Linked DNA regions of Arabidopsis thaliana. The protein of the gene in region 2 interacts with the protein of the main gene of each other region in a pairwise test. Each region holds a gene or a part of one and is shown on either strand. Other genes may lie near its edges.

The links.
Region 1: the proteins of AT3G10760 (region 2) and GATA6 interact in a two-hybrid assay, tested with the Arabidopsis thaliana proteins (one large-scale study listed by BioGRID).

The regions. Positions count from the first base shown.
Region 1 is NC_003074.8:18,971,196-18,975,689, reverse strand, and holds GATA6 (GATA transcription factor 6), read right to left. Parts: upstream 2,565-4,494; 5' UTR 2,350-2,564; intron 2,058-2,349; 5' UTR 2,052-2,057; coding exon 1,794-2,051; intron 1,703-1,793; coding exon 1,022-1,702; 3' UTR 798-1,021; downstream 1-797. Other genes in the region: AT3G51070 (S-adenosyl-L-methionine-dependent methyltransferases superfamily protein), read right to left, coding at 3,399-3,606, 3,689-3,883, 3,966-4,238, 4,329-4,494. UniProt on the Arabidopsis thaliana protein: Transcriptional activator that specifically binds 5'-GATA-3' or 5'-GAT-3' motifs within gene promoters. May be involved in the regulation of some light-responsive genes.
Region 2 is NC_003074.8:3,367,245-3,372,143, reverse strand, and holds AT3G10760 (Homeodomain-like superfamily protein), read right to left. Parts: upstream 2,666-4,899; 5' UTR 2,331-2,665; coding exon 1,323-2,330; 3' UTR 1,305-1,322; intron 1,227-1,304; 3' UTR 569-1,226; downstream 1-568. Other genes in the region: AT3G10750 (FBD domain family), read right to left, coding at 3,875-4,088, 4,532-4,899.

The DNA.
Region 1 (4,494 bases), about 16 Mb from region 2:
CGTAGAAATAGTAATTTCTCAAACTTTTAATGTTTATGCTTCTTGTGTAATTTTCCCTTAAATATAGCCAAAAGAAAAACATATGATTTGTTATTAAAAAATTAGCAAATTAAAAAAGAGTATGATCTCACTTTTGAAATCAGGAGACGTTTTCATCGTTGTGAAGGAGAAAGCTAAGCGTGTGAGACGAATGTTAAAACTAGTATATATATATTCGAATTGTTTAGTTAGTTACATATTATGCAGCATTTACGAAACACGTACTAAAAGCTATTATTAATAGTCAACTCAACTAAAACCATACGAGGAATAAAGTCCCAAGGTAAATTGGTAATTCGTGATAATCTCAAAGATATGGTCAACGAATATTATCACATTGCAAAAATGGATAATATTATCACGTCAACTAAGGTCGTATTCAATCTCCAAAAATACGCAGAGTAATAAATTAGTCAATAAGAGAGTGTGCCCAGTACGTTTATTTTTCTTTTTTCAGTTATTGTATATATTTTTATTTGTGAAATTTGTTTTTTTTTTCAGTTATATTATGTCAATTTTAGAAATACAAGAGAAAATGTGATGGATATAAATAAGTAACAACAAAAAATTGGAGTTACTAACCCTGAAATAAAGCCTACTCCTAATTTGGTATAAATTGATCTCATATTTTATACACTTGATAACTATCAGTCTACCAATAATTATTGAGCATACATTCTAACTAGAAAATGAACCATCTCTATCAATTAATATAAAAACTATATATTATAACGTAAATATAACGTTAGAGGAGGTTAAGAAAAAAAGAATTCTGAAAATTAATGCGAAACAAAACAAATATAATAGTAAGAGTTTTAAAAGTTTTAACCAGTTACTAAATCTAAAAACCTACTACGACTAACAAACAAAAAATCAAATTTGTAATTTAAAACATACATAACCCGTTAACATACTAACTGGTGATAAATCTGAACCGGGTCGGATCCTAATTCTGCTCCTTTAAAAACCTTCCACAATTTCTTCAAAAACTCGAGACAACCTGAACCGTCTGAACCGGCTGGTTCAAACCGGTTTCTTCAGCACCGTCAGAAGTCTCTTTCTTCCTACGCATCTCAATGACTTTACTGTGGTGGTTTGAGTGAAGCTCACTCGAAAATGTTGGGCTACAAGCGGGTCTATATTCGGGTAGTAACCGACCCGATTTGTAACGCACACCACACGCATTACACAACGTCTTCGCTCCTAATGGTCCTGCTCTCCACTGCGGCGTTTTCTGAACTCCACAATGACCACACTGCCGCGTCTGCGTCTGCGTTTGCGTTTGCGTCTGACCAGCGTTTTTCCAAACTTTCTTCTTCTTTTGTGTTTTAGTCATTGGCTCATCAAGAAACTGACCGCTGGCGAGCCATAGAGGGCTTGAAGGACGAGGAGAGGACGACGAAGATGTTGTAGAGCTTGAAGATGAGTCGGTTAACGACTGCGAACCATGAGACCAGACTCTGACTCCGGTTCTGGCTCGTTTGGGTCTGGTTTTGACGGCCGGATGTTGGGATTTGAAGCAGGTCTCCTCTTTAACCGGTTGTACAAGATGTCTCCGATTTCCGGTTAACCAAACCGGTTTATTCGTCGGAGCAGAATACGGCGTGAAAGAAGAATCATCTACGAAATTTGATAACCATTCAAGTTCCGCTATATCATCCATCTAACAATCAAAACATGAAAAGCAAGAAATTAACAATGCAATGACTGATAATTTTTATAAATTTTGCGAAAATGAAAACACAAATTCATACCGGAACGGAAAGCCCGCTAGTGTGGAAATCAGCGGTGGAGAAATCGTTGCTCCGGTGAAGGGTATTTTCGTCAGAGACTCCTCTTTTTCGTTGTACTTTCAATTCAGCCTCATCCTCAACCAAAACGTCGTCGTCTTCTTCTTCTTTTGAGAAGTCAAGCAAGTCGTCGACGGAGAAATCATCGCCATTTTGAGCGCCGCCGGTTAGGGTTTTGTCTTTCATGTTACTGTTCTTCAACGTCAATTCAACACTCTCCATTATTTCCTATCAAACCCCACCAACACAAATTAGGTTTTCTTCTTTTCTTTTGGCTTCCTCAGAATTATCAAAAACTCTCCAAAAATTATCTTTAAAAAAAAAACTCCCCCCGAAAAAAAAAACGTTCCTTTATTTTTCCAAATTCAAACAGAAAAACCCAAAAGAAAAATCACGAAAACCCAGAACCACAACTTGGTGAAACGAACCATGATTTGACTAAGCCACAGATAAAAATTCAATCTTTTTCAAACAATGTGACGAGTAAGTAACCTTCAAAAAAAACTAAAATTGGAATTACCTGAGATGAGAAGAGACAGAGAGTGAAGAGAGGAGATATGTCGGTGAATGAGAAGAAGAAGAAGAGTGGTGAGAATTTAGAAGAAGAGGTGAGTTTGGTAAAGCATTGAATATGATAGTGACTCCAGACCAAAGCCCTCTTCTCCTAAAACTAAAAAAGTTGTGAGTTTCTCTTCTTTATTCTTTCTCAATCTCTTATTTTCCCAAGAACCAAAAAAAAAAGATAAAAATTGAAATATTTTGCTTTGGTGGGAACTATTTTTTTTTACCTTTTTACTCAACCGGCAAAAATTCATAAAAATGTCTACTTTTTGTAAATTCAAAGCGTACATACGCGCTACTGTGAAACGAGAGATGACTGAAAAAAGAACGGTCTCGTTTTCGTTACCCAATCACATACATATTTGGGCTGTATTGGGCTATGTTGGGCTGGGCTTTCTGAAATTTTACGATTTGGGTATCTCATTAACAATGGCTTTTCTCCTCCCGTCTTCTTCAATTCAAAACTGTTTGTGATGATTACTCAGCGATATGCGATTAAAAGCTTCAAATTTGCAGAAACCCATCTTCTTCAGCTCCTACTCTGCCCATGATGTCAGATTCTCTTCTTTCTTAACCTCTCTTTTGAATTCATATGTGGGCTTAAGATTGTTGGTTTCATTTCATGTCTACTTTATTCCTTTTGTAATTTGACTTTTCGCTACCTGTCAATAGCTTATGGTGAATTTGGCTTGTGGTATCGCTAAAGCATCATAATCTCTTCTTCATTACTGCTATGTTTCTACTTGTTGGAACAAAATTTCATTTATTGGTGTGCCTTACTTTTCCCAGTGAAATGATTCATAGCCTTACAAGAGAATATCATAACCATGTTAAAAAAAGCAATATGAAGTAAGGAAAACAAAAATGTTCTAATTAGTCTATATAGTTTAAGAAGACTAAAGCTATTTCTTATACTGACAAATTCTTTTGGGGATTATAGATATGAGTAGTGTGTTGTATTATAATGATGCTTCTGCTACTTTCAAATGCAGATTCTCAGAGCGTCTTTCATTGAGAAGTTTCTGGTCTCCAGAATCCTTTTTGTGCACTTAAGATTCCTTCTTGGTGTTTGGAGAAAGTTAAGTGAACATCCCAGTGCAGTGACTTCAACATGTTCTCAACTTCTCTTATCACATTTGATTCGTCACGAACTATTAGTTTACCTCCTGGTCTTACTATTCTATCCACTTCTGCCATTACTGGAACAAGATTGCACCTTTCAAAACAAAACAAAACAAGAGACTTATTGTTGATGAAACGTTACCAAAAGGTGTGGATATTATGAGTTACGCTTATACCTTGTTCTCAACTTTGAGAAAAGATGATCTGCATGTAAGAGATCATAGCTTCGAGGGTATGTGCTAAATGATTCACACCAGTCATGATATATTCCGAATAGGCCTCTCTCGTAGATTATCGGTAGTGTATCTGGTGAATTTATGTTTACTACATTCATTACCCACACCTGTAGGTCCTTCAGAGCTGCTGCAAACCTGCATTTTTACGTAGTTAGTAAAAAAAGGTTTAGTTTTGGTAAGTGAGATTTTAGTTTGATTTGTTTTCGTTGATGCTCACCCTCCGTAGACAGCTCGCATGTCCATTACATTCCTCACATTTGACCAGCTGATTCCTATTTCATTCATGTATACTTTGCTTACAACATGTTTCCAGTGTTCATAATCTGTAGTGAAATCTCGAGGAGCTGGTTTCCCATATATCCCCATTTGAGAGCTGTTTAACCAGTAAGGCGGTGTTTGAAGCCGACGGGGCCAATTCACGGGCCACTTGCTTCCTCTCTCGACCACATTGGTAGGAACTTTATGCATACATGCTTGTAGGGGTACATACCTGAAATTTCCATTCAAGTTTTGACTTTCTTTGTTCTGTTAAAACCTTATGGTTATTCATTCCCTATGCAAATTGTGGAAACAATCATACCAGGCTGCATTTGCATCGTCGTTGTTTTTGCACAGTGGAGGCTTGTTGTGCTTTCTTTTCTCGTAACATTCATTGGTGGCAGGTTTCTGGTAGATTGCAGCACCAATACCATTGAGTTTATCCTTGTTGATTGTCACAAGTTCCCAGCACAAGGATTTTGTCAACG
Region 2 (4,899 bases):
CATAAAAGAAGAACATGAGGTGGTGAAGGCATGAAGGGTCCTTTTCTAAGTTTGTAGAGACGAAGACACTTTCCCAAAATTCCTGATAAATCACTTCTTTGACCGATGGTCTCAAATCACAAGATTCGATTAGAGACTTGGGGATAAATTTGGATTGGCAATCAACAATGTTTTTGGATTTAATATTTAAGATTAGACTTATGGGAAAAGAACCAATCAAGAGTTATAAAATTATTTAATATATTATTTGTACTTTGATTTGGTCATTACAAGATTAAATAATCGTAATACACACTCTTTACGTGAATAACCGTAAAAGAGAGTTGATATAACGATTAACGAGTTCAACAAAAAGTCTATTTCAGAATAAATAAAACTTTAATTTACATTCTTTTTTTTGTAAAGGAAGAAAAAAAAGGGATGGGGTCAGACTTGGGAGAGACAAGATCAGGACATGCCAGCTATGAACCCACCACCATTGCTTTAAATCACTCATCTCCTAAATTATTTAAACGTTCATTATAAAAGCTAAAAATAAGTCTATATAACTTTATTTGGGTTTGGTCCCTTCAATGATTCCATATAGTATTGCGACTTTATTTATAATTGGTAGTAGTGAATAAGTTGGGGTATGATTAAGGATGTAAGAGCATCAGATCCTCTTCATTCTGATTCTGCCTTCCCATTGTCTTTGTCTCTTTTGCTTATTGGTCTCCTTCATGATCATTTTCACATTGTACTATTGCATCATTGATTCTTGTAAATCAAAACCTTATAATATATGGAGTTAAAAAGGTGACTGAATAAACAGTTTCAGCAATTCCAATATACTTTCAGTGTAAAAGGCTACAACCAAACTCAGCTAAACTCAGCTTTAAGAACAAATCTACAACAAAATGGGAAAGCAAAGAACATTGTGAAGTAAGTTTTTGTTTTTTTCATTCTTTTTTCCAATCTTGAGTTTGTTCGTACGGATGTACGTTCAAAAGTAAACTCATCTTTACATTAATCTTACACAAGAAAGCTACAAGGGTTAATACAAGCCTTGACCTGAAGGTGCTTGAGCTTCAGATACAGAACTTGACCACACATTGACGCTGGATTGTATCAATGTTAAACTGATAAGACTGCACAGAGTAAACGCCACCGGATAAAACCGATGCACAAGAACGATCAGCTGACTCATGTTCTTGATGACTGCAGAGACATTTTGAACATCTAGTAACCTGACATAAATCAACAAAGCAAGCTATGGTTCACAAATACAAAAAGGGTCAACAATCAGAATCTTGATGAAGTATTACCGGAAAGATAATGACTTTTTAATCGTCTCGAGTTGGGAATAAAGTTAAGACAGTTCTCCCTCCATTAGCGTTTGCAGATTCCAAATCCTCAACGTAATTACTAACTGGACTATGCAATGATGGTGTAGACATTCTCTGAATTGGTTGCTGCTGCGTTTGCCTCACCGCCAAGAACGAAGGATCAAACTTCCCATTAGTCGTCGGTGATCCAAATCCATTACTAGTCGGTGATCCAAACTGTCCATTACTCGTCGGTGAACTGAATCCACCATTAGTCGGTGAACCAAAATGCGCAGCTGCGATTTGACGGTGGAACTGAGGCGGTTGTAAATGAGGATTAGCTGCTGCAGCAGCGGCCGCAGCAGCAGCCATTTGTTGTTGTTGTTGAAGAGTAGCAATAGGAACAAAAGACGGCATGAAATGATCAGAACTGGGAACACGATTAGGATGAAGAAAGTGAGCAGGAACAGGAGAGCTAGCGAAAAGACGATCAGTAGCTGGATCTGAACCAGCACCACCACCAGAAGACAAACCTTGCATTCTCTTAAGATAAAGTCTATACTTTTGCAAATGACTCGCAACGTTTTCTCTAGTTAAACCATCAACACTCATAAGCTGCATAATCGTTTTAGGAACTGCGTTCTTAATCCCTAAATGCGCAACAGCATCAACGAAACGTTTATGCAGCTGCGGTGTCCAGACAAGACGAGGTCGTTTTAAAGTCCGAGCTGGTTCGTCTCCGGCAGCTCCTCCGGAGCCTAGATCTGCTGAATCTGCAGCGAATTCGGCTGAGGAATTGGCTTGAGAAGATGGAAGCTGAAGCTGAGACGGTGTAGGAGGTGTGGTTTGGTGATGATGATGATGATGAGGTTGGTTTGAGTTTCCGTTTCCGTGATTTGGGGTTCGTATATCGAAGGCTAGAGCTAGATCGGGTGAGATTAGAGATTGTGATATTGGCATGAGCTCTTCTGGTGATGGAAGTTCTTCTTCCCATCTTGCGAACCAGTCTGAATCGTCTTCTCTCATTTTTATCTTTGAAAAAACAGAGGAGGTAAAAGCTCGAGTTTTTAAGTGTTGATTTCACAAAACCAGAAACATTTTTGAAGATTTAGATTATAGAGAAAGTAACAGATTCAGTGAGGTGAGAACTACGAAATTCGATCTGTAGAAAAAGGAATAAACTTTTCAGGAAAAATTTAACAGAGGAAATGAGAAAAAGGTTGGATTTTTATGAGTCTTTGTGGCTTGAAGAGGAAGAGGAAAAAGGAAGAAGGAAACGGAATCTGAGAATTAGATGATGATTGAGAAAGATGGAGAGAAGTTCGAGGTGGATCTTTAGCTTTTTTTTTTTTTTTTTTTTTGGGTACTCTCAGCTTTTTCAATCTTTAATTTATGATGAGAGTACTTTACCAAATCTACATTTTATTTGAGAGTTCTGATTATTATTTTTCAATTTTATTACATAGTTTTTTGGGAGATTTCAATCATGTCAAGACTCGACCGACGATAACTTTTGGCGCGTGTTGTCCACTTTAGAATCGATGAAGTGAACCTGAACCACTTCAACTGGTTTGGTTTGATCCTTTCTTTTGATTGCCTTTTTTTAATTGGATGTGAGACTCCAAAATGGAAAGTATTCTAATAAACTAAAATCTACTACTAATCTTTGATTAAGACACTGATCAAGATAAAGAGAAGAATGATTTACTAATGTTGATCAGTGTATAAGTTATGATGACTCGGTGTGTTATTTTGGACTTTGGAAACATAATAACATCAACAATCTTTGGCAATAAAAACGTGTATACTTGGCTTAACATATTTCTTTTATTCAGTTTTCTTCTATAGTCTATTTTATGTAGTTAGAACATAGTATAGAAATGCGTGATACTGTTAGCATGTCATTGTCAATAAATAATTATGTTTTTAGAGAAATTTGAAGGCCCAGTTTTGGTTTCGCTTGCAAGCAAAGACAAGAACATTCAATGATATAATATGAATATTCAAAATTGATGAAACTGAAAACATATTAAAAAGAATAGTCATTAATATCATCATCTTTTGGTTTAACAACAATGAAAAAGTTATTAACTCTCTGATTATTGATCCATTCCTTGTAAAGATACCAAAAACAAAGTCATTTGATATTCTTTATCTCAAAAGTCAAAACATATTTGCTTGCTTAGAAGATGTGCATCTATTTATGAAAAGACAGACCATCAATCGTCTGCATATCATAAGAATCGTAAAATGAAGAATTGGCAAAATACCATGAAAACAATTAGTAAGCTAGCAAATTAGCGAGATAGAGAAGGAGAATATTAATTACCATCAAGCAGCTAGCTAGCCGTCCTTCCAAGAAGAATATTATTATCATCTAAGAAATGGATTTTGAGGTTGGACCAGACATGATAATATGATGAATCTTTACAAGGAACGTAGTGGATCTTCTTCCGGCTGAATAGTGCTCATTTTTCAATTTCTACATATATCGCATATTGAGCAGAAGCTGCGATGATGCTGAAACCCTATACATAGACTCTAACTCTTCCCTTATCTTCTTTTTCTCTTCAACATTCGTGAAAGGTATCAGTGAGATTTCCACCGTCTTCAAAGACTTCAGAGTTTTCGAGGATGTAAGCCAGAAGTTGTTTCTCTTCTCTCCTTCCTTCAAAGAGTTTCCACTCCAAGATCTCAAGGTGAGACAACACGCATCGCGGTACAGAACTTGGTTGGTTCCAAGAAAGTGGAACATGATCAATAAAAGGCTGAGAAGGAAGAATTCTAATTAAACACGTTTCAAGAGAGATATTTACAGAGTTGATCCTAATAGCATCTCCATTGGAAGTATCTCAATAAGATACCCAAAAAAAGAAAAAAAAAATTAAAAAAAAAAGGTATGAGAGAAGGGAGAAAAAGTAGAAGAGAAGGAGAGAAGGGAGAAAAAGTAGAAGAGAAAAATTAGAAGAGCTTTTAGTTTAGGAGCATTATGAAGCAAAAGCATAAGTGGCTCCATCCAATACTCTGAGGAAGAAGGATACAACTGAAACTCTATGAGCCGAGAGAAGTTAATGGTGCTACAACTCGCAACCTGCACTTGAACGAAGCAGAACACAACATAAGTAATTAAACGCAGCGATAGTATCACGAAGAAAATAAGATATATTACGAGAGAAGGGTATCAAAATGGTTGGTTAATTACCTTGATATGAGCCAAATAGAGATACTTGACAGAGGAGAAAGATGTCAGAAACTTGTCATTCGGGTAAAAACCACAGAGGGAAACGATGGCCTTTTCAAGGCATGGCATATTCTGGATGGAGAAATTGCCTCCTAAAGAGTCAATGATGCTAAGGTAATTTAATCCCGGGGAATCTATAACCAATGACCTACCAGAACCATTTTTTTCAAGTGATTGCGAATCAATGAACCTTGTCACATTGTCACTCTTATTTCGGATCACCAACAAATATCTGAGAACAGGGCAACTCAATAAAAGCCTAACATGAGAATCTTGGTCTTTATACACCACATTGACAAGGAGCAGCGATTGAAGGGACGGGAGGCAAGCCGCGGAAGGAACATCAACAAGAAT